7 linked regions of the Canis lupus familiaris genome follow. The protein of the gene in region 7 interacts with the protein of the main gene of each other region in a pairwise test. Links are inferred from orthologs where the notes say so. Each region holds a gene or a part of one and is shown on either strand. Other genes may lie near its edges.

Region 1 (3,500 bases), on a different chromosome or scaffold from region 7:
CATTTCCAAGTGTTGCTTTAAATATTGGAGTAAACAAGATAACATCATTGATTATAATACTGGAGTCACATTATAGCCTTGAGAATTAGCATCAGGACTGACAAACTGCATTCATTGTTTTTTCCCCCAGAACTACATTTTCACATTGTCACATGAGTCTACAGTGTTACATGTTCGCAGACTGAAATCATAGAATATGTAGCTTACATATTCTGATATTACATACACTGAAGTTACGGAATATGTGACTTCTACAAGGTAAAACAGCCTCAACACATTGTAAGACTTGTTTCTTCTGCTTATCATTTGCTATTTTGAAAAGAAATCAGTTAAAAACAAAGTGTCTGTGGAATATGTATTTTTCAAAGTTGCTTGATATGCTTGGCAAAAATAAAACTTTCATTTCGTATATATCTGTATTTTAGCATCATTTACACAGTAAACTCTAACACTAAAAAAAGGAAAATGTATATCTCTTATTTACTTGGAGAAGATAAACTTTTTACAAAAGGAATGGAAAAGAATATGCCAAGTCAACGTAAAATTTTAAATATATCCATCAAGAAAATATATATTTTACCCTTTCCACGATTGTTAGCTTTTGAATAAGAATGCAAAGCAGAACAGGTACGGACACTTGATGGCAAACGACAGATTGGTTTTGTGCACAGATATTGAATGGACCTCTCTCTTTATCAGCATGACATGGAAGACTTAGAAACAAGGCTTTGAGAGGATTTTAAAAACAAGTGGTCTTTAAAAATGGAAAGAATATGGTAATCTTGCTGACTAGGAAATATATGTAAATGCTGTTGCAGCTACCTGCCATAAAATGTAAGTATCTTAAAGTAGTTAAATGACCAGATTGCTAATGCTACTACAGAAAAAGCTGAACAGCTGTCTAGTCTAAATTTATCACCTTGGTGCACTCTTTGCAATTAAATACTTTAATGCGCACAAACAAGAAACCAGTAAAGCATATAGAAAAATGTTTTGGCTAATGTTTTCTTTCTCATGCAAATATGTGCTGTACATGTAATAAATATATTTCGTTTGCTGGAAAATGCTCTTCTGTGCTCTAACCAAGTATTCAGTAATGGCAGGTTATATGTTTATTGAAGTGTCTAATGGATGCAGCTGTTTCAAATGTCTTAACTGAAAGTTCTGTAAGCTTCACTAGATGACAAAAGAACCTCACAGGCCAATATCACATGTTAACCTTTACAACTGACTGAGCCCGTATTTCCGATTGTGTCAAATACGTGAGATAACTTAGACAGTTACAGCTGAAGAGGGTCACGATGGACTATGCATGGTGAACAGGAGGGGAGGGAATGTGGGACGTCATGACGCGGTTCAAGGTGTGTATCACAATCGAGAATGTGGAACTTGGTTTCATGGGTCAGGAAAATCATTTAACTGGTGCATGCTCTGAAAGCCTAGAGATTGAGAGGCTTGGGAGGAAAATAGGGTAATAGAAATCAACTATTATTGTCTTCAAAATATAGGCCTCCTGACACGTGCCAGTAGAAAGGTATTTTTACGCCTGGTCCTACTGGGGCTTTAGAAAAACGCATGCGTTGTGGACTTTTAGAAACAAGAGTCTTTTCTGAAAGATATTTGCGTATTGTATAAAAGGGTCAATTTCAGTAATCCCTTGGATCATAGTGAATCTAAGGCTTCCTTGATAATAGAAGACGAAGGTCACCAATTTCATAATTATAGCCACTGGAAAAACTGTCAAGACTTAACAGGTGAACAGGACTGTTCATTAGAAATAAGGCAGCTCAATCTCCAAATTCTTTATAATTCTAGACAATAAAAATGCTGCAATTTTAATTACGATTCAAATATACTCTGAATTTATGAGTTTACTTTTTATTGCAAGCTTTTAAATTCATCATTTGTTTTCACATTTTTTTTTCATTTGATCATTTTGTATAAACACAGCTTTCGATATCAAAATTGAATGATTCCATGTAAAACAGGTCGTTAGCATGACTATAAAGAATTTGGGGAAGGGCTAGAACATTCACATATTCGAAGACAGAGACTGAATGGAGCAATGGAAAGATATGCAATTGTGCTGGCAGGAAATACCGGCCCATGTTTGTGGGAAGCTGGAGAGATGAATTCCCATCTGGAGATGTTTAGCTTCGTGCTCAGGAGGATCTGTGCCCATCCTCACTGACTTCAGGTTCCTGGATGTATGTGGTTGTGCTCAGAGCCAGGAAAGGGGAAACACCCCTTTTCCACTTCCCGTGACCACCTATGATTGGGCTTCTCTATAGTGTTCTCTCTCACTGCTAAAGAAAGTTTGAGGTTTTTTTTTTGCCAACTTCAAACAAGCTAACAGTAGTGACTAAACAAAAAGCAAAACACTTTGAATACAACAGTTGTGCCAGTAGAGAAACAAAAATATTAAAATCTGAGGATAGTGTATAATTTCTGAATTAATTTGAGGTGGGTTTTTTTTTTTTTTTGGCACTATCAATACATTTGGTGAGTTTGAAAAGCCATTATGTCTACATTAACATATGTTAAAATGTTTATACATTTCAACTTTAAGTGTAAATTTAGCTTCCAGCAAATAAATACCATATCTGGTTTTGGCTTCTTTCGGTATTTTGATTTTTTTATTAATTAGGTTTTTGGTTGTTTTTGTGGGTCTTGTTTTTTTTTTTTTTTTTTGGTTTTTTTTTTTTTTTTTTTTCAGATTTTTAAATTGACTGCAACATGCTCAAGTAGACTTTCTAGTCGATTCACCCAAATTCCAACAGGAATTGGTTTATAAATTGGTTCCAACTGGAACTGGTCATTTGGAATTTCCAGCATGGGAAATTATTTTATATGTGCCTTGATAAGTACCCTAAATTACAAATCGATGTGTCTAAATCTAATGAAGAAAACAAAAGGTACTGTTATGTAAATGCTGAGCTTAAAAATATCTATATGACTGGGCATCTAATAACCATCTAGACTTAAGGGCATAACGTACTTTTTTGTTGTTGTTTTTTGCCCCTTGCTTAGCATCAAATGACAACAGCCCACAAGCACAGTAAATACCGTGCTGTACTTGCCAAGTTAAGATGATTGGTTTATCCTAGCAGTGCTATGGCAAATTGTCAACAGATGAATTTTTTGTTTGCTTCTGCAGACTCAAAGCCTATGTCGGGAGTCATGGCTATATCCCCCAGGCGATCCTCGGTTCCTATGGGGTTTGTAAGTGTCCTGGTATGAGTCAGGGTAATCTTCTTCCACGAGAGGGTAATGATCTCGGCTATGCTGGGAACTGGAAGACAAGCGGTTCCTACTCTTCCGAGCCCTCTCATTGTGATAGTTTTCATCAGAGGTCATTAGACTTCGTCTTTCAATTGGAGAGTTCTCCGTGGAGTGGTTGCTGTGCCTCATACGCTGACTCTAAAAATATCAGATCGTCCATTGATTAGATCGTGTCAACTTAATTCACCTAGAATATGCAAATGTATGTGCAACAGTAG
Region 2 (3,500 bases), on a different chromosome or scaffold from region 7:
TAAGATGGTTACAAGCAAATGTATGTAAATTATGTGTGTGGCTTGCATTAGATTTCTGTGGGACAGCTGGGAACTGAAGAATGAACAGGTGGGAGGAGGGATAAGTGGGTTCTGTGGCAGCTCCGAGGAAATTTTAAGGAAAGGGATGTCATGAAGTTTCTCACACAGGGATGAGGGCAGCCATCTGACTTCTGCAGGCTGATTTGTATTCATTTTAATTTGAGAGAGTAGGGTTTTCCCAAATCACAGGGTTCATTGCTAACCCTCCTCAGTGTCCCAGGACTCAGGTACCTCCATAGACCCCGGCCTCACAAATCCCCACCAACACAAGCTTGTCTCTTTAGCATGCTCTGGTTTGTTGCACTCATTTAAACCATTTCTGCCCTAGGATTTGAAACCTAGCAACATCGTAGTAAAATCAGACTGCACGCTTAAGATCCTTGACTTTGGCCTGGCCCGGACGGCATGCACCAACTTCATGATGACACCGTACGTGGTGACGCGCTATTACCGGGCACCTGAAGTCATCCTGGGCATGGGCTACAAAGAGAATGGTGAGTGTGGGCAGCACCGGCAGAGGCTGTGGCGCTCCTGTGCGGCTGCAGCTCACCACTAGCCAGGTCCCCTGAGCCAGAGGAAACACCACGTGGGGGCTGTGTTATACGCAGGTTGTCATGGCCCACAGACTCGAAGTCATTCATCTCCCGTCTCCACTGGCAGAAGTCACCCATATCTACAAATATACTTTCAAAACGAATATTTTCTCAAAGTATAATGTATTTAGTATAGAGAAGTATGTGGACCCATACCGCCAGCAGTACCCGGAACCTCCCCAGACCTTCTCCAGGTCTCAAACCCCAAAGGGAGCCATTATCCTAGTTCGTGGGGCCAAAACTTGGTTTTATTTATTTTTGAACTTGGTACAAATGGAATAATACATGTTCTCTTTTGTTTAAGACTGGCTCTTTAACATTAAAACTTACCCTACCGATACCAGAGCCCTTTGTAACTGAGCTCTTGACAAATTTGTCAAAAAGAGCTCAATCACAGTTATTTGCTGAGTCTGAAAGTTTGCACAGGTCATCTGGACTGAGCCATGCTTTAAGATATACGTGCTTTGTAACCAGTGCTCCCAGCCTGACAGACACGGTTCTGTGGCTACGTGTTGGCCCTGTTGGCTCCTCCCACCAGCGCCAAGGAGAGGTACTAAATAGCCCTCTGTCCAGCCATCTGAGGCCTGGGGTTCTGATGGGCCCCAAGGAAGCCTAGATGAGCAAGCCCACCCCTGTGAAGACCTGCCAACATGGCAGTTTAGCAGAGGATTACTTAGGAAGCATTGTGTCCGTATTTCACAAAAGCTCCCATTGACAAGCTGGGTTTGTCTTTGTTGGGAGGGGGTTTGAGAAAGATGCATGGGGGTCTCTGGCTGGTTTTAATCACCTGGTGTTTGGTAGTGGACATCTGGTCTGTCGGGTGCATCATGGCAGAAATGGTCCTCCATAAAGTCCTGTTTCCAGGAAGAGACTGTATCCTTCACAGGGAGAGCCCCCGCAATGGCCACCGGGGTGGGCATGGGGGGAGGGCATGTGGCCTACAGATAGCTTTGTGGGGACAGGCACCTCTTTTTTCTGGGGTTTTGTTTGTCTTTTCAGCCATAAAGTACTGGAATCTTTGACACTAAAGCCCAGATTGCTGCAAGCTGAAGGCCAAAGTAGCAGCCAGCAATCATTCACACTGTGTAAAAAGCTCACCTTTAGCTAGAAATTTTTTTCCATTTTTGTGTGTTTAGTACACTGTTAGAATTCCTTTTCCTCACCTTTGTTTTGTTCATGGCACTTCATAATTTTGTCATTTCATTTTATTTTCAGTTGATATCTGGTCAGTGGGTTGCATCATGGGAGAGCTGGTGAAAGGTTGTGTGATATTCCAAGGCACTGATCGTATCCTTCCCGGGACGCTCCCGGCCATGCTTTCCATAAATGCGAAAGGCAGCAGGAGCTCAAATGGAAAATGTTGTAATTCTAGACTGTGTCCTAAGGGGTTCTTTATTATGTTTGTTAAATTAGTGTCACAAACCAAATGGTTCAGGTTTCTGTTTTCTTTTTCACTTGACTACCTGTAATGACTTTATTAAGGCTTAGAATTAAGTTAAACTGATGATATTCTTAATTTTATTAAAAATAGCTTAGAAATTGATTTACTCTTTGACAAATGTATTCTGATATTTGAATGAAAATACTGCTTATTTAGTTCACTGAGTTAATTTAACAAGGGAAGTTGCTGTCTAAATTTAATAGACCAGTATTGTGTCATTTACTTACTATACCATTTTGTTAGTTATCAGTATGGATTGAAATATCTTCCCCCAAAGTAAGAACTGAAGCGTGCTACATAAGACTGAGGTAAAAGAGACCAAAAGGAAAAGTTTGTGAGGAACAGTATATTAATTTTCTCGCCTGTTGACATTTTATAGAAGTTTTTTAAAGATCCATCTAGAAGGTTCTTTTGTGACACACTTGGGGAAGTCTAAACAAACATGATGCAGAAGATTAACTTATACTGTGGTCAGCAAATCACATCAATGACATAGAGCATAAAGCAAAAGAGACAATAGAACAGTTATAAGAGCTTTCTTTCCTCGTGGTCCTCATATTCTTCCATCTTTAACATTTTTTACTCTGACATATTCCCTTTTTCATTTGTGTTCTAACCACTTACGATTTTCATTAGTCTTTGATTTTGTTTTTTTGTTATCAAAGCCTAAAGTAGTCTCTGTCTGTTGGCAGATTGATGGTTATTTTTAAAGGAACTCAAGCTGTGTAGTCAGTGTTTAAATGTATTTTATTGAAATTATTTTAGTTTTTTATAATTTTATGAGGGTGATTTTCTTGTAGTATAAATTCTTTACAACACAAACATGGAATGAAAAGATTTTGTTCCTATCATTTTATTTGCCTTCCTTGATGTTTTTCATATCACAGATTTTATGTGAAGTTGAATACAGCATTTTATTTGTTCTAATAAATTTCCTAGCAGTTTTCCATAATCTTTGCTTTGATTCGCTTGTTCTAAACTGTAAATAAGGAGGTCTTTCTTTGGAAACAGACTCAGCTTAAAAGGAAGAAGTTGATATATTCTAAAGAGAAATAATTTAGAAATATCTACCTAATGTTCAGTCTCAATTCATAGTCATTTTGTGTCTTTCTTTTTTTTTTGAATTAATTAAGAAATGTTTTCTTCAGAAAGTACAAAAACTGGATACTTTTTGGTGGATTTTTAAGCAATTTAAAATCCTTCCTTACATATTAGCATCTTGCAGTATTGGTAATTGATAGTTTTATATATAAGGCCATCTAATGTCATTCTCAAAATACACACAGAGATTAACATCATTTTGCAAAGGCAATTTTGCCCACTCTTTCAAACAGTAGATTAAAAACTGCTAGGATGGAAAAAGATTCTGGCACCAAGATTGCAGTTCTCTGAGATTTGCTTCAGAT
Region 3 (4,169 bases), on a different chromosome or scaffold from region 7:
CTGCCCCTGCCTGGTGAGCACAGCAGCCGGGGGACTGGAAGGCGGGGCAGGGCTCCTTGAGGCTGGAACTCTATTGCCAACAGCTCCAGGCACACACTTCACTCTCCCAGACCCCACCCGACCAGGCACAGCCACGGACATCCCACACTGCATACACACTAGATCCTATAGGCTTTGGAGGGTGGCTTGCTCCCTGGGCAGGGCTGAGGAATGTGGGCTGGCCCCACCCCCTGGCCAGGAGCCCCTAGGTGCCCAGGCTGGGCTCTGCTCCCCACCCTCCTTGGCCATCCTGCTGCCCCACCCCGGCCTGACTGGTTTGGGAGCCCGATCCAGTCCCTACCACCCCTGACAGGGTGAGTAGGGGAGGTAGGTGGAACCACCCACTGGGTTCTCTGCCCCTGTCATTCTGGGCTGTCACGTGGAGCTGTGCATTGCCTGGCAGCGGTTTGGGGGTGACAAATCCAGGGCCCTCTGGGCCCTCGAAGGTTAGGACACACTCGTTGGGGCAGACATGCCTTTATGGGGCTGTAGAAAAGCAGACAGGGTGGCGGTCAGCAGTGGGGAGGGGATAGCGGGGGTGTACGGCCATCCGGTAGGCCGCCAGGATCTCAGCACTGCATGGGCACGTGTACTTGAACTCCTTCACCTGCAGCGCGCTCTCCAGGTAGCGGCGGACGCCGCACAGCTCAGCGGGTATGGGCACTTGGCGGAAGTGTGTACATACCGTCTGCCGGCAAGGGGCGCGAGGTCAGGGCCTTGCAGGAAGCACCCCCCACCCCTGTCCCGCGTGTGGCACTCACATCCATGATGTACAGCTTGGGCAGCAGGCTGCAGTCGGCCAGCGTGAGCTGGTCGCCGTCCAGGAAGCGGCGGCGTGACTCCTGAAGCTGTGGCTCCTGTGCCAGCTCGTGTTCAAGGGGCCTGCGCAGGTAGCCGTCCAGTCTGGTGAGGGCGCGCAGCAGCAGCTGGTACAGAGCTGCGGGGGTGGGGTGGGGCACTGTGAGGGCCGGGCCAGGCCAATGTCCCCCTCCCACCCCACGGCTCGAGACCCTCCTCACCATTGTCCTGAGCGGGCACTGGGTTCTTGATGAACGCGGAGAACCTGTGAAAGACGTCGTTGCCTGCCGTGGTGGACTCCCTGTACCGAGGTGCCAGGCTGGGGAATCTGCAGGGGAGCCAGGGAAGCTCCGGTCAGACCCTGGTGTCGCGCCCCCTTCCCCGCCGCACCCTCAGCATTTCTCTAGGGCTCCTACAGGGAACCCATATTCGCCCCTGCCGCCACGCACTCAGGTGGCCCCAGTGTCTCCTCCAGAAACTCTTCGATCTGCAATGTGTCCGTTTTGGCGTCGCCATCGTAGAGAAGGATAGGCAACTGCGAGCCGGGTGCAAAGTCCTTGAGCACATCCAGGGACCTGTGGGCATAGGCAGGTGGGGAAGCTGCTGCTCAGGAGGGCCAGAGGCCCAGCCATGGTCCCCTGGGGGCAGGGGGCTCACCTGCGAGTGTCCACCGTGGTGAGGGTGAAGGGCACACCCTTGAGCAACAGGAGCATGAAGAGCCGCTGGCAAGAAGGGCAGTGTCCCACGCTCTCACCGTCCTCGCTGGCCTGGGCGGGTAGGGTGGAGGGGGCCGGGGCAGAGGGTGCCAGGGCAGAGAGCAGACCTAAGAATTTTGCCAGAGAGGACCCTGCCTACCCCCGCTCTGTGCCTGGAGCTTGGTCGGCCACGCCCTCAACAAGTGATGGGTGAGAGCCCTTGACTGGGTCCCTGGTGGGGGGGCCCAGGGACATGGCCCCTGGGGACCCTTATCTCCAGCACCTGGGCAGAGGCCAGCCTCCCGGTCTCCAGGCCCTCCAGGCTGGTCACGAGGGCAGGGTGGGCCGAGTACTGTTTTCTGAGTGATTCATGCTGCCAACTGGACACTGGCTGGCAGCACACTCACTGCCCCACACCCCAACGATGGGGGAAGGCCAGGGCTGGCAGCCGGTGCACAGGGATCCACAGCCCCGGGCAGTGATGCAAGCAACGGGGGTCACCCGGCCCAGCCCCCCTCCTGCAGCGCTGACCTCCACCCTCACACGAGCCTCGGCTGCCAGCTGCTGATCAGCACCTCCCCACTGAGGGGCTTCGCCCCCGGCTTCCCCTCGCATGGCCTTCGGGGCGGCTCCCCAGGCCCTCGCCCAGTCCTGGCCCCTTTCCTCAGCCTCCACAGGCAACCTGCATCCAGTGCACACGCAGCCTCTGGGGCCCACTGCCTGCCCCAGAAAGCCGAGCCCCACTGAGCATGCTCCTCCCCGGGCCGCCTGCCCGCCTGCCCACCCACCCGGTGGTACCTTGACAAACAGCTGGAGCTTGGCAGTCTCTGCCATGGTGAGGAGCGCAGCGCGGTGGGAGGCAGTGAGGCAGGGGTGGGAGCCTGGGGAGCCCTTTAAAGCTGGGGTGCTCCGCCCTCCCCAGCCCAGGGCCCGCCCCACCGAGTCATCCCCCCTTGCAGGCAGGCCAGCCGTTGGGGCTCTGGGGCCTGTGTCCAAGTGCAGGGGTGTGACTGGGGGGCTGCCGGTGCTGCGGCCCCAGGGGGCTTTGGGGGTTCAGAGGTGGGGAGAGAAAGGAGCCAGCCTGGGCACAGGGCTGCCCTGGATCAGGATCAGTCCTGCCATGAGCCCACGGCCCTCCCTGCAGTGAACACCCCACTGTCCACTGGGGTCCCCAGCCCAAAAAGCTGAGGAGTGAGTAGGAGAAGCAAACACCCTAGCCCTGGCCTTGGTTTCCCCATCTGTCTACCTCCTGGGCAGGGAGGCCCCTCCCATCACTGAGCTGGGTCAGCCCCGCCCCTGGACCAGCCCACATTCCAGGAGTGCTGCTGGCCTGCCCAGGTGCCCCTCCTTGGCCAGCCACACCCCCTGCCGTCCCTACCCTCCCAGGGGGTCCCAGGCAGGCTTCCTCCACCTTAACCTTCCCCAGAAGCACCATGAGAAGGTTTAGGAGCTACAACCTCCAGCCCATGCGTCAGCCTGCTCACGGTTGGCTGGAAGGAACCTCTAGAGGACGTTGTGGGTACCCCCTAACCTGTCCCGCCTGTCTGGTGGCTCACAGTCCTGGGTGAGGGTGCCCCGAGGGAGGGGCCTGCCAAAGCCTACGCTGCCCCTCCACACAGCTGGGGACCTGCCTGTACCTTTGCCTCCTCCCTCCGGCTCCCCCTTAGGCACCAGTGCCTCTGCTGCTCCTCCACAATGGGGTGGGGGCTTGGCCCACTCACCTGCTGCTCCGGGCGCATACACCCCAGCCCCAGGGAAGGCCCAGGGCCCCCTCCACACCTTGTGCATGCCTGCCAGCCGTCCTCTGGGTATTTCTGTGTGTGTAAAAATAGCCCCGTGCATCTGTAGGTATGATCAGGAGATGGACCAGCAACCAGGTAGCTCAGAGAAAAGGAAATACACCGACACTGACAGAGTGAATGGGAGCATGTCTCACTTCACACTTATTTCAAGAGACAAACTAGGACAGGACCTGGTTCGGGGCTGCAGCGGGTAAAGATGTGGCTCTGTACTCAATGAGGGGGTGAGAAGCCCCCCTCAGCCCGGGGACACATCAACGAATGCGTGCTGTCCCCTGGGCAGCATGGCCCCATCTGCAGGAGGGACCCGGTGACTTCCTGGGACAGGACACAGGTGGTGAGTCTCTAGTCTCGGGTTGGGTGATGTGGCTGAGTTGTGCCCCTGCCATCCACGTGTGAAGTCCTCGCCGCCTGGGCCTCAGACAGAGCCCTGACAAGCCATCCTACTGATATGGGGTTATCAGGGCAGGCCCTGCCCCACTATGACTGTGTCCTTGGAAGCGGGCAGTTTGTTTAAGATTTTATTTATTTATTCATGAGAGACCCAGAGAGAGAGAGAGGCAGAGACACAGGCAGAGGGAGAAGCAGGCTCCCTGCAGGGAACCTGATGTGGGACTTGATCCCAGGGACCCCGGGGTCACGGCCCTGAGCCAAAGGCAGACACTCAACCCCTGAGCCACCTGGGCTGCCCCGGAAGCGGGCAGTTTGGATGCAGACACACATGGATGCCATGTGTGGATGGAGGCCAAGGACAGGTGGTGCTGCTCCAAGCCCGGGCCACCACCACAGTGGCGACCAGCCCTCCCCAGCCTCGATCTTGGACTTCTGGCCTCCACAT
Region 4 (4,247 bases), on a different chromosome or scaffold from region 7:
GACGTGGGATTCAATCCCAGGTCTCCAGGATCGCGCCCTGGGCCAAAGGCAGGCGCCAAACCGCTGCGCCACCCAGGGATCCCCGTATTTTTTTTTTTAACTCAACTGAAATTTCTGACATGTATATGACCCTTACATTTCATTAAACTGCACTAGGCAAATCTTGAGATTAACCAGATTCTCTCTCCACTTCATAAAGGCAACAAATCTGGTAAGCACACCTTCCAGATAGGCTGTAAATACTGTATATAAAGAAAAGGGATACAGACTCAACTCGGCAGAATCCCAACTGCAAGTTGTACCCATAAATCAAACCCCTCCAGACATAGGTGCTCAAAACCATGATTCCATCCAATTTCACCACAATCTGGCAAAATCCCCTAACTCACCCACCAGGTCATCATAAAAGACTTTAACTGATGCCTTACTAAAATTCGACACACTCTCATTCTATTCCTTTGAGATATCATTTGAATGTCCTCTTCTGGCAGAATTTATAACTCTAGCAACCCTGCTACTCTGGCTATTAAGAACAGAAAAATGACACATTTTCTACTTTGCATTAATTACAGCACCTCAGGAATCACAAATACTTTTTTTTTTTTTTTTAGATTTTACTTATTTATTCATGATAGACACAGAGAGAGAGAGAGGCAGACACAAGCAGAGGGAGAAGCAGGCTCCATGCAGAGAGCCCAAGGCAGAACGGCTCCATGCAGAGAGCCCAAGGCAGAACTCGATTCCGGGACCCCAAGATCAGGCCCTGCCTGGGCCAAAGGCAGGCACTAAACCGCTGAGCCACCCAGGGATCCTCCCCCCACAAACACTTTAAACATTTTCCAGTCCTTTGTTTTTTACACTACAGTTCTTTAGCGGTCAGACACATTAGCAGTCAATTTGGTGAGTTACAATCAACTTTTTCTGTTTTAATGAAATAGAAAATGTAAACCAGCATCCTATGCAGAAAGGGTAAACCTTTGGGAGGGGTGTGTGTGTGTACCCTGTGCATGCTGGGAGCACATTAAGTCATAATGTAATAATGTATCCAGCTGTTGGTCCTGGGTCAAAAAAAGTTTGAAACACACTTTGCTAGTCCCACAGGCCTATCAAAAAAAAAAAAAAAAAAAAAAAAATTCTTAGTAGTCACAAAGTTCATTACTTGTAACCATCTTCCTTCCCTACAGAGAAACAAACAGGAATTTTGAATTGAGTACATCTAATCTGCCATTCACCAATCAATCAATCAATCAAGCCTGGGTTGAACCGCTCAGCGGTTGAACGTCTGCCTTTGGCTCAGGGCTGACCCCGGGGTCCTGGGATCGAGTCCCACGTCAGTCTCCTTGCAGGGAGCCTGCTTCTCCCTCTGCCTGTGTCTCTGCCCCTCTGTGTATGTGTCTTTCATGAATAAATAAAATCTTTTAAAAAATAATTAAAAAAAAAAAAAAAAAAACTAGAATCCACCTGAGGTTTCCAGGTGCAATACTAACCTGCTCAGAGACAATTCTGTTCTGATGGAAGTTAAGACCTGTATAGGGCAGCAGACCCGCGATCGGTTTAGTCTGTGGAGAGGGGAGAGAACAAAAACCACTGATTCCTCATCCGTAACCGCGGGAGAGGGCTGCGGGGACCCCTCCCGGGTCTGGAATTGGGAGAGATTCATTGAAAACCGACTGGCCAAGCGCTGTGCCCCGCCTTGCACAAGCCATTCGACGAGCCGGTTACTACTGATAAAAATTCACTCGGTTATCACACAAAGAGCGCCTGCACCTGGAAAGAATCACGAAGCCGCGAACCTGGCCGGTGTCACGTCCTCAGCCGCCCTTGCGCCTGAGACCCCCCCAACACACCTCCGCCCGCAGGGGCTTCGGCTCAGGGACGTGGCACCGGCGCGCGCAGCTCCGAGCCACCGCGCTCCATTGTGCAGGGCGACACCGGGCAAGGAGCAAAGAGTGGGCGAGCTGCCGCGGCCGTGCCCGGGCGAAGCCGAGGGCCCCCGCGCTCACGCTCCTGCGGCCCTCGACCTGCCCCCCCAACCACACCCCCCCCCCGAGGCAGCGCCCCGCACCCGGCCCCCAGCCCGCGCGCGCGCCTCCAGGCACCTCTACGAGGCCTGGAACCGCGAAGCCAAAAGCAAAGCCGCCCGGCAGCCCCGGAAGCCCCCTCCCGCCAGCGCCCGCCGCCCCGCCGCCCCCTCGCGCCCACCTCCACGCCGGCCGAGCGCTGCCTCCGCACGCCGCGCCCAGCGGGGCCCGCCACGCACCCGCCGACACCGGGAGGCTCGACGGGCTCCTCCACACCCACCCCCGCAGCCGCGGCCGGAAGCGCCCCGCGTCTCCACGCCGCCGTCGTGAGGTCACTTCCGGCGCGACGCCTTGGAACCCCGAGGGCCGGCGGCGCGGGGCGGAGCTCCCGGGAAGGCTCGAGCGGGATCAAGATCCTGGGCGCGCCCTCCCGCCCGCGGGCACGGGGCTCTGCGCCGGTTCCCGCCCTCCCCCCAGGCCCCCGAGGCCTGTCGCCGAGGACTGTCGCCTGGAGGACTTCGGGGAGGAGGTGGCGCCCGGCGACGTCGGCCTCGTCGACTCCGGCAGCCGCGGCTGCGGACGCAAGGAGTCGGCCCCGCGACGGATTAAAGGATTAAAGGTTCCCTTCGCGGTTACCCGTCCGCGCGCGTGGGCTCCGGCGCGTTGGGGCTCAGCGTTGGCCGGACGCCCCCGCTCCCGGTGCGCGGGGGGACGCCGTTCCCCGGGGCCTCTGCGAGCGGCGTCCTGGGGAATTGGAGACCTGGAGGGCTTGCGAGGTCATCGCGGGAAAGCCCGAGACCCGGCTTGGGAATCCCTGCGCGGGCAGCAGGGCGGTTACGAACGTGGCTCTGCGAAGTAAGGGGAGGAGTTCTGTAAAAGCTCCCTCTGCGGGGACTCCCCACCCTTCCCTTATCGCGAGAGATCCAGTTTTAAGTCTGGAGGGACCCCGGCCTGTATTTTTTTTTTTTTAAGATTTATTATTCATTCATTCATTCATCCATTCATTCATTCATTCATGGGACACAGAGAGAGGCAGAGACACAGGCAGGGGGAGGAGCAGGCTCCATGCAGGGAGCCCAATGCGGGACTCGATCCCGGGTCTCCAGGATCACCGGCCTGTATTATCTTTTTTTTTTTTTTTTTTAAAGATTTTATTTATTTATTCATGATAGTCATCATCAGAGAGAGAGAGGCAGAGACACAGGCAGAGGGAGAAGCAGGCTCCATGCACCGGGAGCCCGATGTGGGATTCGATCCCGGGTCTCCAGGATCGTGCCCTGGGCCAAAGGCAGGCGCCAAACCGCTGCGCCACCCAGGGATCCCATGCCTGTATTATCTTAAAGGTCTTTACAGTCGATCCTTTACACCCTCCAGATCCGGGAGCCCTTAGGGTGTGAAGCTCAGGGTTGAATCCTAACTCTACCTTCTGTTTTTTTGTTTTGTTTTGTTTTTTTCCAGAACAGCTGTGCGGCTTGAGATGAACCTGAGATAGCTTAAAAAAAAAAAAAAAAACTGCTGTGAAATGTGCACCTGAACCTGATTGGCATTCCTAAAGGGGTGATTAATTCTCTTGTGTCTTTTTTTTTTTTTTTTTTTTTTGGTTAGGATTCTATACTCCAGGCCAAATAACTTTTTTTTTTTTTTAAGATTCCCAGGAGAATTAGTTGTAGAGGCCACTTTTAGGCAACAGGCATAATAAGCACTTGGAAACCTGAGTCGGGCAGAGGTGCCCACAGTGACCAGGGGACTGAATGCAAACAGACTCATTAGGCGACCCACCTGAAAATAGCCATAGACCTAAGCTGAGGAATGGGCTACCTGCAACCGGGCACAGGTACCCAAACACGAAAATTCCATGTTCCCATCCCTCCTCACCACCTCCTAAACTACAGCCCAACACTGCCTCCTGACAGTCTCTCCTTTGCTTTCCTGACCAGCTAACTGGAAATTCAATAAACTTCTATCACCTTTGTTCTGCCTCAGGTGAATTCTTTTACCTCTGATGCCACCAGCCTCCACCCAATCTGGACACACCCACATCTGTCTTCTCCACCGCAAGCACTGCTGTAGCCCAGAAGTCAACTGAAGGTTATACCTAACCGTAATCCCACCATCTTGCACAGTGCCTGCCAAGAGTAGATGCTAAAATGTGTGTCTGTTGAATGAAAGAACTGTCCCTAAGACCACCTCAACAGACTTTGCCCAGAGTTCAAACTGGAAGACTTT
Region 5 (3,500 bases), on a different chromosome or scaffold from region 7:
GGAGGAGGGATTTCCTGCAGTGACATCAGGCAGTGGAACTGGGAAGGGAAGCCTCAGGTACCTGGCAGGGCAGGAGGAGGGTTGAGGAGAAATGGCCCAGATTGGCAGGTGCATCAGCCAATTAGAGCTTGGGAAGCAGGTGGGCCCTTGAGGCCTGAGCCTGAAATCGGAAGGAGTGACTTAGGGGCCAAATTCTCAATTAGTGAAGATTATTGAATGGTAGATTTAGTGCCAGGAGGTAACTTGGGCAATAGTGGTACAGACCACTCTGAAGGGTGAGCACCCAGTGGCTAGGTGGGGATGGGTAGGTTGGACTTGCTTTTGCTGCTCTGTATTCTTTCTTCCTTGTCTTTTTCTTCCCTTCTTTAACCTTCGTGTCTTTCCCTCTTGCTCCAGCTACACGAATCTCTTTAAATTTCTTACGTAGGTATTTCATTTCTTAACTTTTCTTTTGCCCACTTTCTTTTAACTGGACACACTAAAGGACAGAATTGCAAATCTTACATGCTGGTTTTTGTTGTTTTTTTTTTTTTTTTTGTCTCCATTATTTTTTCTTACTAAGAAAAAATTGTGCTTGCAAGCTTAATACATGTCCACCAACTGTCTTTCACGGGGCCAGTGGCCTTCAGTAGAATGCTTTCCAATCTTCTCTTGACTGAAGCCGATACTGATTTGTCTTCAATGGAACTCACTGTGATCTTATGATAGAAAATATTCTGATAGGAAGATTATGAACCTTTTTGATCAACACTACAAAAAGCCTGGATATAAGAAAGCAGTAGATTTACTTCTGAAATCTGAAAAATAGAGACTCTGCAGAAGGGTGGAATCTGCAAATAATAGATGGAGTAGTAATGTGAGGGGGGCTGAGCGTGATGCCCAGTTGCTTGAGAGAGTCTTGCTGCTTACTAACAGGCTTTTTTTTTTTTTTTTTTTTTAAGGATAGCTCATCCCCTGGTACTTAAAAAGTTTTGCTAATAGATATACTGTTTGGTTTTCTATCAGTTCTTATGTTGACATGTAGAGTGCTCAGTGATAGTAGAATACACATTTTTAAAAGAGGAACTAGCATTTGTGTTATTAAATACTACTTTTACATATGTCTTTTTGAAGAAAAACTAGAAAATATTATAAATGAGCAGGGTGAGGGGCCATAATCTATAACCCAGAAGGAATCAATGTGGGCATTTTGGCACATCTCCTTCCAGATTTTAATATCTATAAATACACTTTAAACAAAAATGGGATCATTTTATTCATATTGGTCTATAATCTCATTTTTTCCCAAGTCAACAAGTGTATATCTTTTCATGAAAATACGGTATTTCATTTTATGGTTATGTCAGTGTTACAGTAAACATCCTTGGAGGATTATTTCTAGGAGTTCAAAAGATACGAACTTTTTAAAGTTTTTGACGCACGTAGTCGAATTTTTCTTCAGCATGGTTCTGTTTCAAATTGCCCTCTGCATTGCCAGATTTTCCCCCATACCCTTGCCAGAACCGGGCGTTGCCTTTATCCTTATTTCCTGGCAATCTGGCAGTGAGAAATATTCTCTAATTAGCAGAAGAAAAAGTTACCAAGTTATCTGTTTTTGATAGTGCATTTGAAAATACTTTAATGCCCTACAAAGAAGCTTAACAATTTGCTCTTGACTGTGGGAGTTCATTTTTTCTTATCTATAAGTAAGAGTATTTTATGGATAAAAGGTTAACTGTTATGTTACAAATATTTTAAACAGGTTCTTAATACATAATACTAACACTACTTCTTATCTGTAAAGATAATTTAGCTCTGTATGATAACCTGGTATCTTAAATTCAGATTTACTTTTATAAAAGGATCACAGACTTAGTATTAGCATTGCATCTGTGTGAGCTTAATGAAGGAGATGTTGATTCTAAATCTTAGCTCTAAATAAGATGACTTTTATTTTTGCCGACTTTTTATATTAATTTATCAGTGTTGCAGACTTCATTTTTGTTTTATGTTCTGATGTGTGATAATGAAACTTTTTTCTTTTTCAGCTTGACCAAGAATGTTCCAATATTTGTTTGCACTATGGCCTACCCCACTGTGCCTTGCCCTCTTCATGTATTTGAGCCAAGATACAGATTGATGATTCGAAGAAGTATACAAACTGGAACTAAACAGTTTGGGATGTGTGTCAGCGATACACAAAATAGGTATGCTTTTTTGGTACATGAATATTTTTATGTTAGAACTTGCTTTGAATTTTGAGAACTTGCATGCTTGTTGCTTGAACTTTATTAATCAGAATTTTTCTTTTAGTTTTGCAGATTATGGTTGTATGTTACAAATTAGGAATGTACATTTCTTACCTGATGGAAGGTCTGTGGTTGATACAGTTGGAGGAAAGCGGTTTAGGGTTTTAAAAAGAGGAATGAAAGATGGATATTGCACTGCAGACATTGAATATCTGGAAGATGTTAAGGTATTAAAAAATGCTTTTTTTAGCCCACCTTGGTATACTCTACCCTAGGCACTGTACAGGCATACAGGCTGATCTTTTTCCAGGCACATAAAACGGTTCTTCTATCAGAAGATAGACAATACAAATTAGCTCCAAGTTACCTTTTTCTTATCTTGCTCTTACTTACTGAGAGTTCCAGGAGAACTTGGGTATCCAGAACGTAGATCATCTTCATTTCTACAAGCTCCACAACCAGCATGGTGCCTGGAATGTAGGTGGACACTGTGAGCACTTAACAACAGCAGTTAATTGAACTTTCAATCCATCTGAGTTATGAGAGCTGCTAATCTCTGCCCTTTTTAATTAAAGTTGATCATCAAAACTAATATCATCAGATTTAAGTGTGATATAAAGGAAAACACATAAAATCCTTTAAAAACTGTTATATATGTGTCTGACATAACCTTAATGATAAAAGAGACACAGTTGGGGGATGTGTTCAAAATCCAGGGCATCACAGAGAAAATACCATCACCATACTTGTTGGTGACCGCTTACCTAGGGAGGCTTATTGTGATAATCTTCGTGGACAGGGTTATGTGGCCTTTTTGATGTTTCCAGTATCTAATCACCATCTGTGATTAGTTTGAGTACCAGAAAAAGGATTTGTGATGCTATCAATATCAAATTAAAGGCAGTTTCCTTTGGAAGGGCATTATAAAACCATTGATCTTATGCTTTTGCTGTTCACTGACTTATTTGGGCCTTTCCTTTTATTTGCTTACTGAATATTGGCATTAGGCATTTCTGTAAACATTAGCTCATTGAATTTTCAAAACTCAGCAGATGAGGGAAGGTAAAAAAACAAAAAAGTGTTAATTTGCCTAAGATCCTTTAGGTAGAGTAATGAAAATGACTTAAAGCTAGCTCTCTGGCTCCCAAGTGCTGTGCTTTATCATTATGCCATAATTGCCTCTCTGGTAAACTCGATTAGTCTGATATTGCCTATCCTATTATTAAGATGCCATGGGGACACTTTTCTTTGTGCAATGGGCCAAACAGATTG
Region 6 (3,135 bases), about 4.0 Mb from region 7:
CAGGCCAAGTGCCTGCCGGATCCCACCTCTTCCTGAGCTTTCACTGGTGCATCTCCGAAGGAGACCCGATTAAAAACCGCATGTATGCAGGTGCTAAGCGGGGGCATGTAAAAGGCGGTGGAGGTTCTGTCCCATGCTGGGGGGCAGAGGGACGGAAGATGTATGGGATGCTGATGTATATCAGTGCCAAGGGAGATGGAAGCACGTGCAGGGCTGGAGAGGAAGTAAGGACAGGGGAGGGCCAGCAGAGGGCTTTCCCCAATACATGGGATCCTCAGCCCTTCCTGCTCCCGGCCTCCTCCACGATGGGGTCCCAATCCTGGGGCCTGGAATTCAACTTCCCGAACTCTCTGTCCCTACCATGTGTATAAACCACCCCAAACTATCATCCTGCCAGCCACCATTCCCAGAATGTAGGTGCCCTACAGACAGGGGCTTTGTTATGTTCACAGCCTGGGAAAAGCAGGCACTTATCAAGTATTTCTTCAAGTAGAAGGATACAGTGATTAGAAGCATGGACTCTAGAATCAAAGTGGCCTGGGTTCAAACACCAGGTCTTCAGTTTAGTATCAAGTCACTTAACCTCTCTGTGCCTCTGGCTCCTAATTTATAAAATGGGAGTAACAACAGCATCTACCTCACAGGGATCTAAGGACAATTACGTGAGTTGACACATGGAGAGTACCAACTCCCAGCAGATGTTAGGCACTCAGTACAGGTAAACAGAACTTATTATGTGCACAGTGTCCTTCAGAGGCGGATACTACACCCATCTCATAGATGAGAAGCAAAGATTCAGAGAAGGGAGATGACTTGTTCAAAATATACCTTTCAAAGCCCAGCCTCTCACATCCCACACCCTTTGCTAATGCTCTTCTCATCAGAACTACCCCTTCCTTCCTCTGGTCATCAAACCCACCCTCAAGAGTCCCCTTACTTGCAGAGCTGAGGGCCAGTGCCCCGGGTGAGGACAGGGGTGGCAGGCACACTTCGTCCCTCAAAACTGGAGGCACTCCTAGGCAGCGAGCGCGTGGGGCTAGACAAAAGACGGGCAGGCCCAGGTGAGGGCCTGGGTTAGAGACCATACCCACCAGAGCAGCCCAGACCATACCCACCTCCTGCCCCAGCTCAGGCTCAGGAGCCCACTCCCAGCTCCCTGGGGAGGGAAGGGGCTCACCCTCACCTGGTGGGGCTGGCCACAGAGTTCCGCCGGTTCTTCAGATCCCCATAAAGATCTGACGGCGGTGGTTTCCATGGGGTTCGCCGCTCGGGGCTGCCCCCAGACACTGCCCGAAGTTGGTCCCAGGCCTTGGGTGGCGAGGGGCGCTCGGCCAGAGGGAAGCAGCCACGGGGCTCCTCTGGGAGGAAGGCAGCAAGTAGGGGAGAAGTCAATGAGAGAGACCCTGGGGGGCTGCAGGCAGAGGGTGGGGCAGGAACTAAGGCAGGAGGCTGGAAATGGGGATGATGAGCGGGTCAGGGTGATGCAAGAAAGATGGGGGGCCCCGTGTGAGGATGGGGTATGGCTAAGAAGGGGTTAAAGAGGGAGTGGAGGGGCTGAGCATCAAAGGATGGGTGGGCTTGGGGCACAGGGGTCCTCACCATTGTCATGGCTGGCCCCAGACTCTGAGAGGGAGCTGCTCTCTGAGTGCAGAACTACGTCTTCTGTAAGTGAGAAGGGGGAGACCCGGGCCTATCAATGCAAGGCCTGGGTGCCATTCCCTCGCACCCCTGGATGGTCTCCTCTCCGCCCTGTTCCTTCCCAAGAACCCATCTTTACCTGAATCCAAGACTACCTGAGGCTTGGCTCCTGGTTTTCCTGGTGCCATCTGGCCAAGTTCCCAGTGGCCATACCCTTACTGCAGGGCCAGTCTATCACAACTCCTCTCCCGGGTCAGGTCCCTCAAGTCCCACCCAGCTCCCCACCTTTCACTGGCTGGCTGCCTACCCCACCCCTATCACGTCCTTCCACCCATGCCCACTCTCCCGCTTTGACCTGTGTGAACACAGGGCTGGCTCACCTTGGCTGAGCTGAGCAAGGCGTGTGCCCAGGCAAATTCCTTGGGCAGTGATGACTGGCCCGGTAGACAGGGGTAGAGGCTGTGGCGGTGGGAGTACCGGGAGGCCCAGCCGGGCCCGGAGGTCCCCAAGCTGTTCTTCCAGCTCGTGCAGCCTCCGCAGCGCATCTGCCTGGACCTGGCGCCGGCGCCGGCGCTGCTCAAGGCTCAGCTCGGGGGCCAAGGCTAGGCGGCGAGCCGCAGCCGCAATTTGCTGCTGTACTGACACTTCACGCTCCAGGGCCTCAAGAGCCAGCTCCTGCGGGGCCCACCCAAGAGGGCAGGATCGGACCGAATGTTCCAAATGGCCAAGCATGGGGCATGGGGGGTGAGGGGTGGGGGGGGGCAGAGGCTGTCTGGGCTGGAAGAGGGGCCTATTCTGGGGCGGAGCTCATTTCTTCTGCAGGTGGTGCCTGTCCTGGTTAGGGACTAAACATACTCATCTTCCCCAGGTGAGAGGCTTATCACAATGACGATGATGCAGGGGCCCAGCATCTTCCTTCAGAGCTGGAACCCACATCCCTCAAGCCATTCTCTTCTCACCTTAGCCTCTCCGCCCCCCTGGCCACAACTCCAAGGCTGCCCAACTTCCTCTGGGCTCCTCCTCTGTACCTGGCCCACCCCCATCATGCTCCCTAGGCCCCTCCGTTCACCTCAGCAGGGCATAAGGAGTGGTGTGCAGGGTTGGGGTGCGAAGGAGGGTAGCCTCGGGCTGCAGGGGGCCGCCGGCGGACCAACTGGGGCCGTTCACCAGGCTCTAGTGGACACTCAGGGGGCAGCTGGCCAGTCAGCTCCTGGTGGGGGCAGGGGACAGAGACTACCAAGGGTTAGTTGGGGGAATGGGGCAAAGCGGTAATGACTCCAGAAGTCCTACTAGGAGCTCAGCAATGTTCAGCTGCCCATGCCTGTTACTCCTCCTTCCTCTCCATTCTCCACCCAACAGGTATGCTGTGGACTCTCAGCCCTCGATGGCCCAAATCCCTGGGGCAGTGGGCATGGGAGGTAGGGAGACCCGCTTTGGAATCCAGAATTCTTTATTCTTTGTAAAGGCGACCCAGTCTATACACCACACATTCTGTAA
Region 7 (3,500 bases):
TTTTTAAGATTTATTTATGTATTTATGGAGGCAGGGGCAGTGGGATCTCAAGCAGACTGCGCTGAGCACAGATCCTGACATGGGGTTTGATCTCAGGACCCCAAGATCATGACCTGAGCTGAAACCAAGAGTCACTCAACTGACTGCACCACCCAGGTGCCCCACAAACAATTAACTAGAGAATCTTTTACTTTCAGAAGACTGATTATGAACTCGATGAATATGCACTTTCTCTTGCATTTCACTTTTTTCCTTTACTTGCCTTGATTAAACCCAGAATATTCCAACCCTGATTTGTCATATCCTCTATGGTACTTTCATAGATGTGTATTAATAGCACAAAATGAAGGTTTCTTAAACACCTGTACTCATATATGATAAGTGACACATAGTCATGACATAGTCATAACCCATAACATTCTGGACAGTGAGTGGCGAGAGTCTCTCAGCCCACAGGTAAACTCGGGAAGGGGTTCTGGGTCTGCTGCTCACCTTGGGTAGCTTTCTCCTCTGGAGGAATAATGACATAGCATCCCGGCCTGAGTTATGTGGCATCACTTCTTTGACTTCAATGGTATCATCAGACAGAAAGTAATGCAGAATGAGCTCCCTTCGGTCCCCAAACAGGGTAGCTGAGTCGTCCCATAGGCAGAAGAAACGTAAAACCTTCCTATCATACTCAAGGAACTGCTTCAGGGTGTCAAAGGACTCATAGGGGCGTAAAGGCTTCATGCAATCTAGAGTCTGAAAAGGGAAAAAAAAAGTCAAGAACAGCAGTTGTGCATGATCACTTCTGGGATGCAAGCAATCAAAGAACGTAAAGATACCTTTCCCACTAACTATTCTGTGATATTTTTTTAAAGGTCAACTGACTAATGACATAGATATATATACATCTACAGCCAGCTGTCACCTTAAAATTACAGTCAAGTAGTAGGAAGCTTTTAATATTAAGCAGTGTTGAGGGGGACATTGATGGGATGAGCACTGGGTGTTATTCTATATGTTGGCAAATTGAACACCAATAAAAAATAAATTTATATAAAAAATATATTAAGCAGTGTTTTAATACACTAAAATACACTTCTATGACGCCTTTGAAAACTGGTTTTTCTCCAAGACTTAAAATTCTTAGGAACACACAAAACTCATGTGTGGTGACAGAAATTAGAATGGTAATTGCCTCTGGGATTGACCGGAAAGGGGGAGAAGGGAACTTTCTGGGGTGATGGAAATATTCCATATCTTGATTTGTCACTTACTAAATTGCATACATTTTCCAAAACTTGTTGATCTAATGCTTAAGACTTATCCATCTGAGTCTATGTTAATTATATCTCAACCCCCTCCCCCCCAAAAAAACCTGCTCATCTTTTTGCTGAGAATTCCTATCTGTATATCCTTCTTATTCATCCAAAGATTTTTGTAAAAGTAAAAGGGAAGAAACACAATCACAGTTTTATTTTACTCCAAAGCTTTATAGATCAAGGATCAGGAAGGACAGGAGCAGAGCAAATGGAGAATTTCCCAAGCCACCCAGAACCGCTGCATGGGTTCTGTCGCCCAGCCTAGGTACCACTACTTCTATGATCTTCTTGGTGTGACTCTATTTGCATGTTCTCGGCCCTGTCTTGGGAGCAAAACTGCCCTCATTCTATCTGATGTAGCCAAACGGGATCATTATATAAGTGCTCATTGGCAAGGAAGGAGTCCCCTGTCAGCTTATGTAATCGTATCTGTCAATTCTCAGAATCCTCTATCTGTCCAGGGCAGTCTGGGTACAGACTAACTGCAAGATTGGGGGAGACATCGTGGCCTTCCAGGGGCTCTTACCCTTCTTCTACATCCTGGATATTTAAATGAAATTATGGCACCTCTACTTTCATCAACTGAAAAATATTTCTTTGGCATTCTAAGGCCTTTAAGGAATGCATTATTGATTATATACCATTGGGACTCTTTTCAGTTTAAGTTAAATTGTTTAATTTTAACTTTATAGTTGAAGGTAGCAAACATTGGAGAAGTAAATGCATTAAAGTCAATATAAAAGCCTCTTATTAAACTCCTAATTTTCCACAGATTGCTATATTTATTGAAGAGCTTTCTCCCCGAGGGATTAAATGCAAAAATTATTTTCCCAACCTGAAAGGAAATTAGTTAAAACATTTCTTGGCTGTTCCTGGTATTTATTCTCTATTCCTGGCACAAAAGATTTTTTTTCTTCATAAACCTATGAAATGGCACAGTGCTCTCTGTATTTAATAAAATGCATCATCATCCGTAATCGCTATCATATAATACCAACTGTGAGTGAATGAGTGCAGCCATATGCAAGAGGTGGTAATTCATATGGATCCATTCTTTTAGGTTCTCTCTTCTCATTGTAAAGACTCTATGTTTATCTAGGCTCTTTCATCTAGGGCATTTGGAAAAAATAAAAATAAACCCAAACTATAAATCTGTTCATATGCCAATATACACAGGTATAATTCCACAGGGACTTCACCTTAAATATTCCAGGATCAACAATATATATTTTTCAGGAGGGCTGCATGCTTACAACATTAAAGAATAACTCTACTGGGGTCAGGAGGTGGAACAGATGAATGACCCTACACTTAGCTTTAAAAAAAGATATCAAAACAGAATCTGGGTGTTATATGTTGGCAAATCGAACTTCAATTAAAAATATATATATATGGGGCAGCCCAGGTGGCTCAGCAGTGTAGTGCTGCCTTCAGTCCAGGGCCTGATCCTGGAGTCCCGGGATCGAGTCCCACATCGAGCTCCCTGCATGGAGCCTGCTTCTCCATCTGCCTGTCTCTGCCTGCCTCTCTCTCTCTCTGTGTCTCTCATGAATAAATAAATAAAATCATAAAATATATATATATGGAAAAAAAGAGGGTCCAGGTCCCCAAATTTCCACTGACTGATAAATGGATAAAGAAGTAAATGGGATACTACTCAGTCATGAAAAATAATCAAATCTTGCCATTTGCAACAATATGGATTAAGCTAGAGGGTACTATGCTGAGCAAAATAGGTCAGTCAGAGAAAGACAAATAAGAGATGAACATAGGTCTGAGAAAGAGGAAAAAGGGAAAGAGGGAAGCAAACCTTAAGAGACTCTTTTTTTTTCTAAGATTTTATTTATTTATTCATGAGCGACACAGGCACAGGGAAAAGCAGGCTCCATGCAGGGAGCCCGATGGGGGACTCGATCCCAGGTCTCCAGGATCAGGCCCTGGGCCGAAGGTGGCGCTAAACCACTGGGCCACCCGGGCTACCCACCATAAGAGACTCTTAATGATAGAGGACACACTGAGGATTCCTGGAGGGGTGGTGGGTGGGGGATGAGCTAAATGGGTGCTGGGCATTAAGGACGGCACTTGTGATGAGTGCTGGGTGTTATGTGTAAGTGATGAGTCACTAAATTCTACTCCTGCAACCAATATTCCACTGTATATTAGCTAACTAGACTTTAGGTGAAAATGTGAAAA

What was found.
Region 1: the proteins of EFHC2 (region 7) and voltage-dependent L-type calcium channel subunit beta-4 interact in binary tests that used the Homo sapiens proteins (3 or more experiments, as listed by UniProt). The two-hybrid records come from large-scale screens. The link is inferred for Canis lupus familiaris from reciprocal best matches to the Homo sapiens genes EFHC2 and CACNB4.
Region 2: the proteins of EFHC2 (region 7) and MAPK9 interact in binary tests that used the Homo sapiens proteins (3 or more experiments, as listed by UniProt). The two-hybrid records come from large-scale screens. The link is inferred for Canis lupus familiaris from reciprocal best matches to the Homo sapiens genes EFHC2 and MAPK9.
Region 3: the proteins of EFHC2 (region 7) and CLIC3 interact in binary tests that used the Homo sapiens proteins (3 or more experiments, as listed by UniProt). The two-hybrid records come from large-scale screens. The link is inferred for Canis lupus familiaris from reciprocal best matches to the Homo sapiens genes EFHC2 and CLIC3.
Region 4: the proteins of EFHC2 (region 7) and EDC3 interact in binary tests that used the Homo sapiens proteins (3 or more experiments, as listed by UniProt). The link is inferred for Canis lupus familiaris from reciprocal best matches to the Homo sapiens genes EFHC2 and EDC3.
Region 5: the proteins of EFHC2 (region 7) and LONRF1 interact in binary tests that used the Homo sapiens proteins (3 or more experiments, as listed by UniProt). The two-hybrid records come from large-scale screens. The link is inferred for Canis lupus familiaris from reciprocal best matches to the Homo sapiens genes EFHC2 and LONRF1.
Region 6: the proteins of EFHC2 (region 7) and CCDC120 interact in binary tests that used the Homo sapiens proteins (3 or more experiments, as listed by UniProt). The link is inferred for Canis lupus familiaris from reciprocal best matches to the Homo sapiens genes EFHC2 and CCDC120.

The regions. Positions count from the first base shown.
Region 1 is NC_049240.1:54,751,282-54,754,781, forward strand, and holds part of voltage-dependent L-type calcium channel subunit beta-4, read right to left. Parts: intron 3,421-3,500; coding exon 3,160-3,420; 3' UTR 1-3,159. UniProt on the Homo sapiens protein: The beta subunit of voltage-dependent calcium channels contributes to the function of the calcium channel by increasing peak calcium current, shifting the voltage dependencies of activation and inactivation, modulating G protein inhibition and controlling the alpha-1 subunit membrane targeting.
Region 2 is NC_049232.1:1,729,426-1,732,925, forward strand, and holds part of MAPK9 (mitogen-activated protein kinase 9), read left to right. Parts: intron 1-388; coding exon 389-554; intron 555-1,454; coding exon 1,455-1,526; intron 1,527-1,868; coding exon of another isoform or gene 1,869-1,940; intron 1,941-3,500. UniProt on the Homo sapiens protein: Serine/threonine-protein kinase involved in various processes such as cell proliferation, differentiation, migration, transformation and programmed cell death.
Region 3 is NC_049230.1:48,633,792-48,637,960, reverse strand, and holds CLIC3 (chloride intracellular channel protein 3), read right to left. Parts: upstream 2,792-4,169; 5' UTR 2,367-2,791; coding exon 2,331-2,366; intron 1,605-2,330; coding exon 1,495-1,604; intron 1,413-1,494; coding exon 1,287-1,412; intron 1,166-1,286; coding exon 1,059-1,165; intron 977-1,058; coding exon 801-976; intron 728-800; coding exon 518-727; 3' UTR 501-517; downstream 1-500. UniProt on the Homo sapiens protein: In the soluble state, catalyzes glutaredoxin-like thiol disulfide exchange reactions with reduced glutathione as electron donor.
Region 4 is NC_049251.1:38,207,579-38,211,825, forward strand, and holds the start of EDC3 (enhancer of mRNA-decapping protein 3), read right to left. Parts: upstream 2,801-4,247; 5' UTR 2,658-2,800; exon of another isoform or gene 2,652-2,657; intron 2,333-2,651; exon of another isoform or gene 2,203-2,332; intron 1,560-2,202; 5' UTR 1,488-1,559; intron 1-1,487. UniProt on the Homo sapiens protein: Binds single-stranded RNA. Involved in the process of mRNA degradation and in the positive regulation of mRNA decapping. May play a role in spermiogenesis and oogenesis.
Region 5 is NC_049237.1:37,045,957-37,049,456, reverse strand, and holds part of LONRF1 (LON peptidase N-terminal domain and RING finger protein 1), read left to right. Parts: intron 1-2,027; coding exon 2,028-2,186; intron 2,187-2,292; coding exon 2,293-2,455; intron 2,456-2,621; exon of another isoform or gene 2,622-2,698; intron 2,699-3,500.
Region 6 is NC_049260.1:42,416,817-42,419,951, reverse strand, and holds part of CCDC120 (coiled-coil domain-containing protein 120), read right to left. Parts: intron 2,849-3,135; coding exon 2,708-2,848; intron 2,314-2,707; coding exon 2,019-2,313; intron 1,663-2,018; coding exon 1,600-1,662; intron 1,359-1,599; coding exon 1,184-1,358; intron 1,037-1,183; coding exon 938-1,036; intron 1-937. UniProt on the Homo sapiens protein: Centriolar protein required for centriole subdistal appendage assembly and microtubule anchoring in interphase cells. Together with CCDC68, cooperate with subdistal appendage components ODF2, NIN and CEP170 for hierarchical subdistal appendage assembly.
Region 7 is NC_049260.1:38,446,048-38,449,547, forward strand, and holds part of EFHC2 (EF-hand domain-containing family member C2), read right to left. Parts: intron 745-3,500; coding exon 493-744; intron 1-492. UniProt on the Homo sapiens protein: Microtubule inner protein (MIP) part of the dynein-decorated doublet microtubules (DMTs) in cilia axoneme, which is required for motile cilia beating.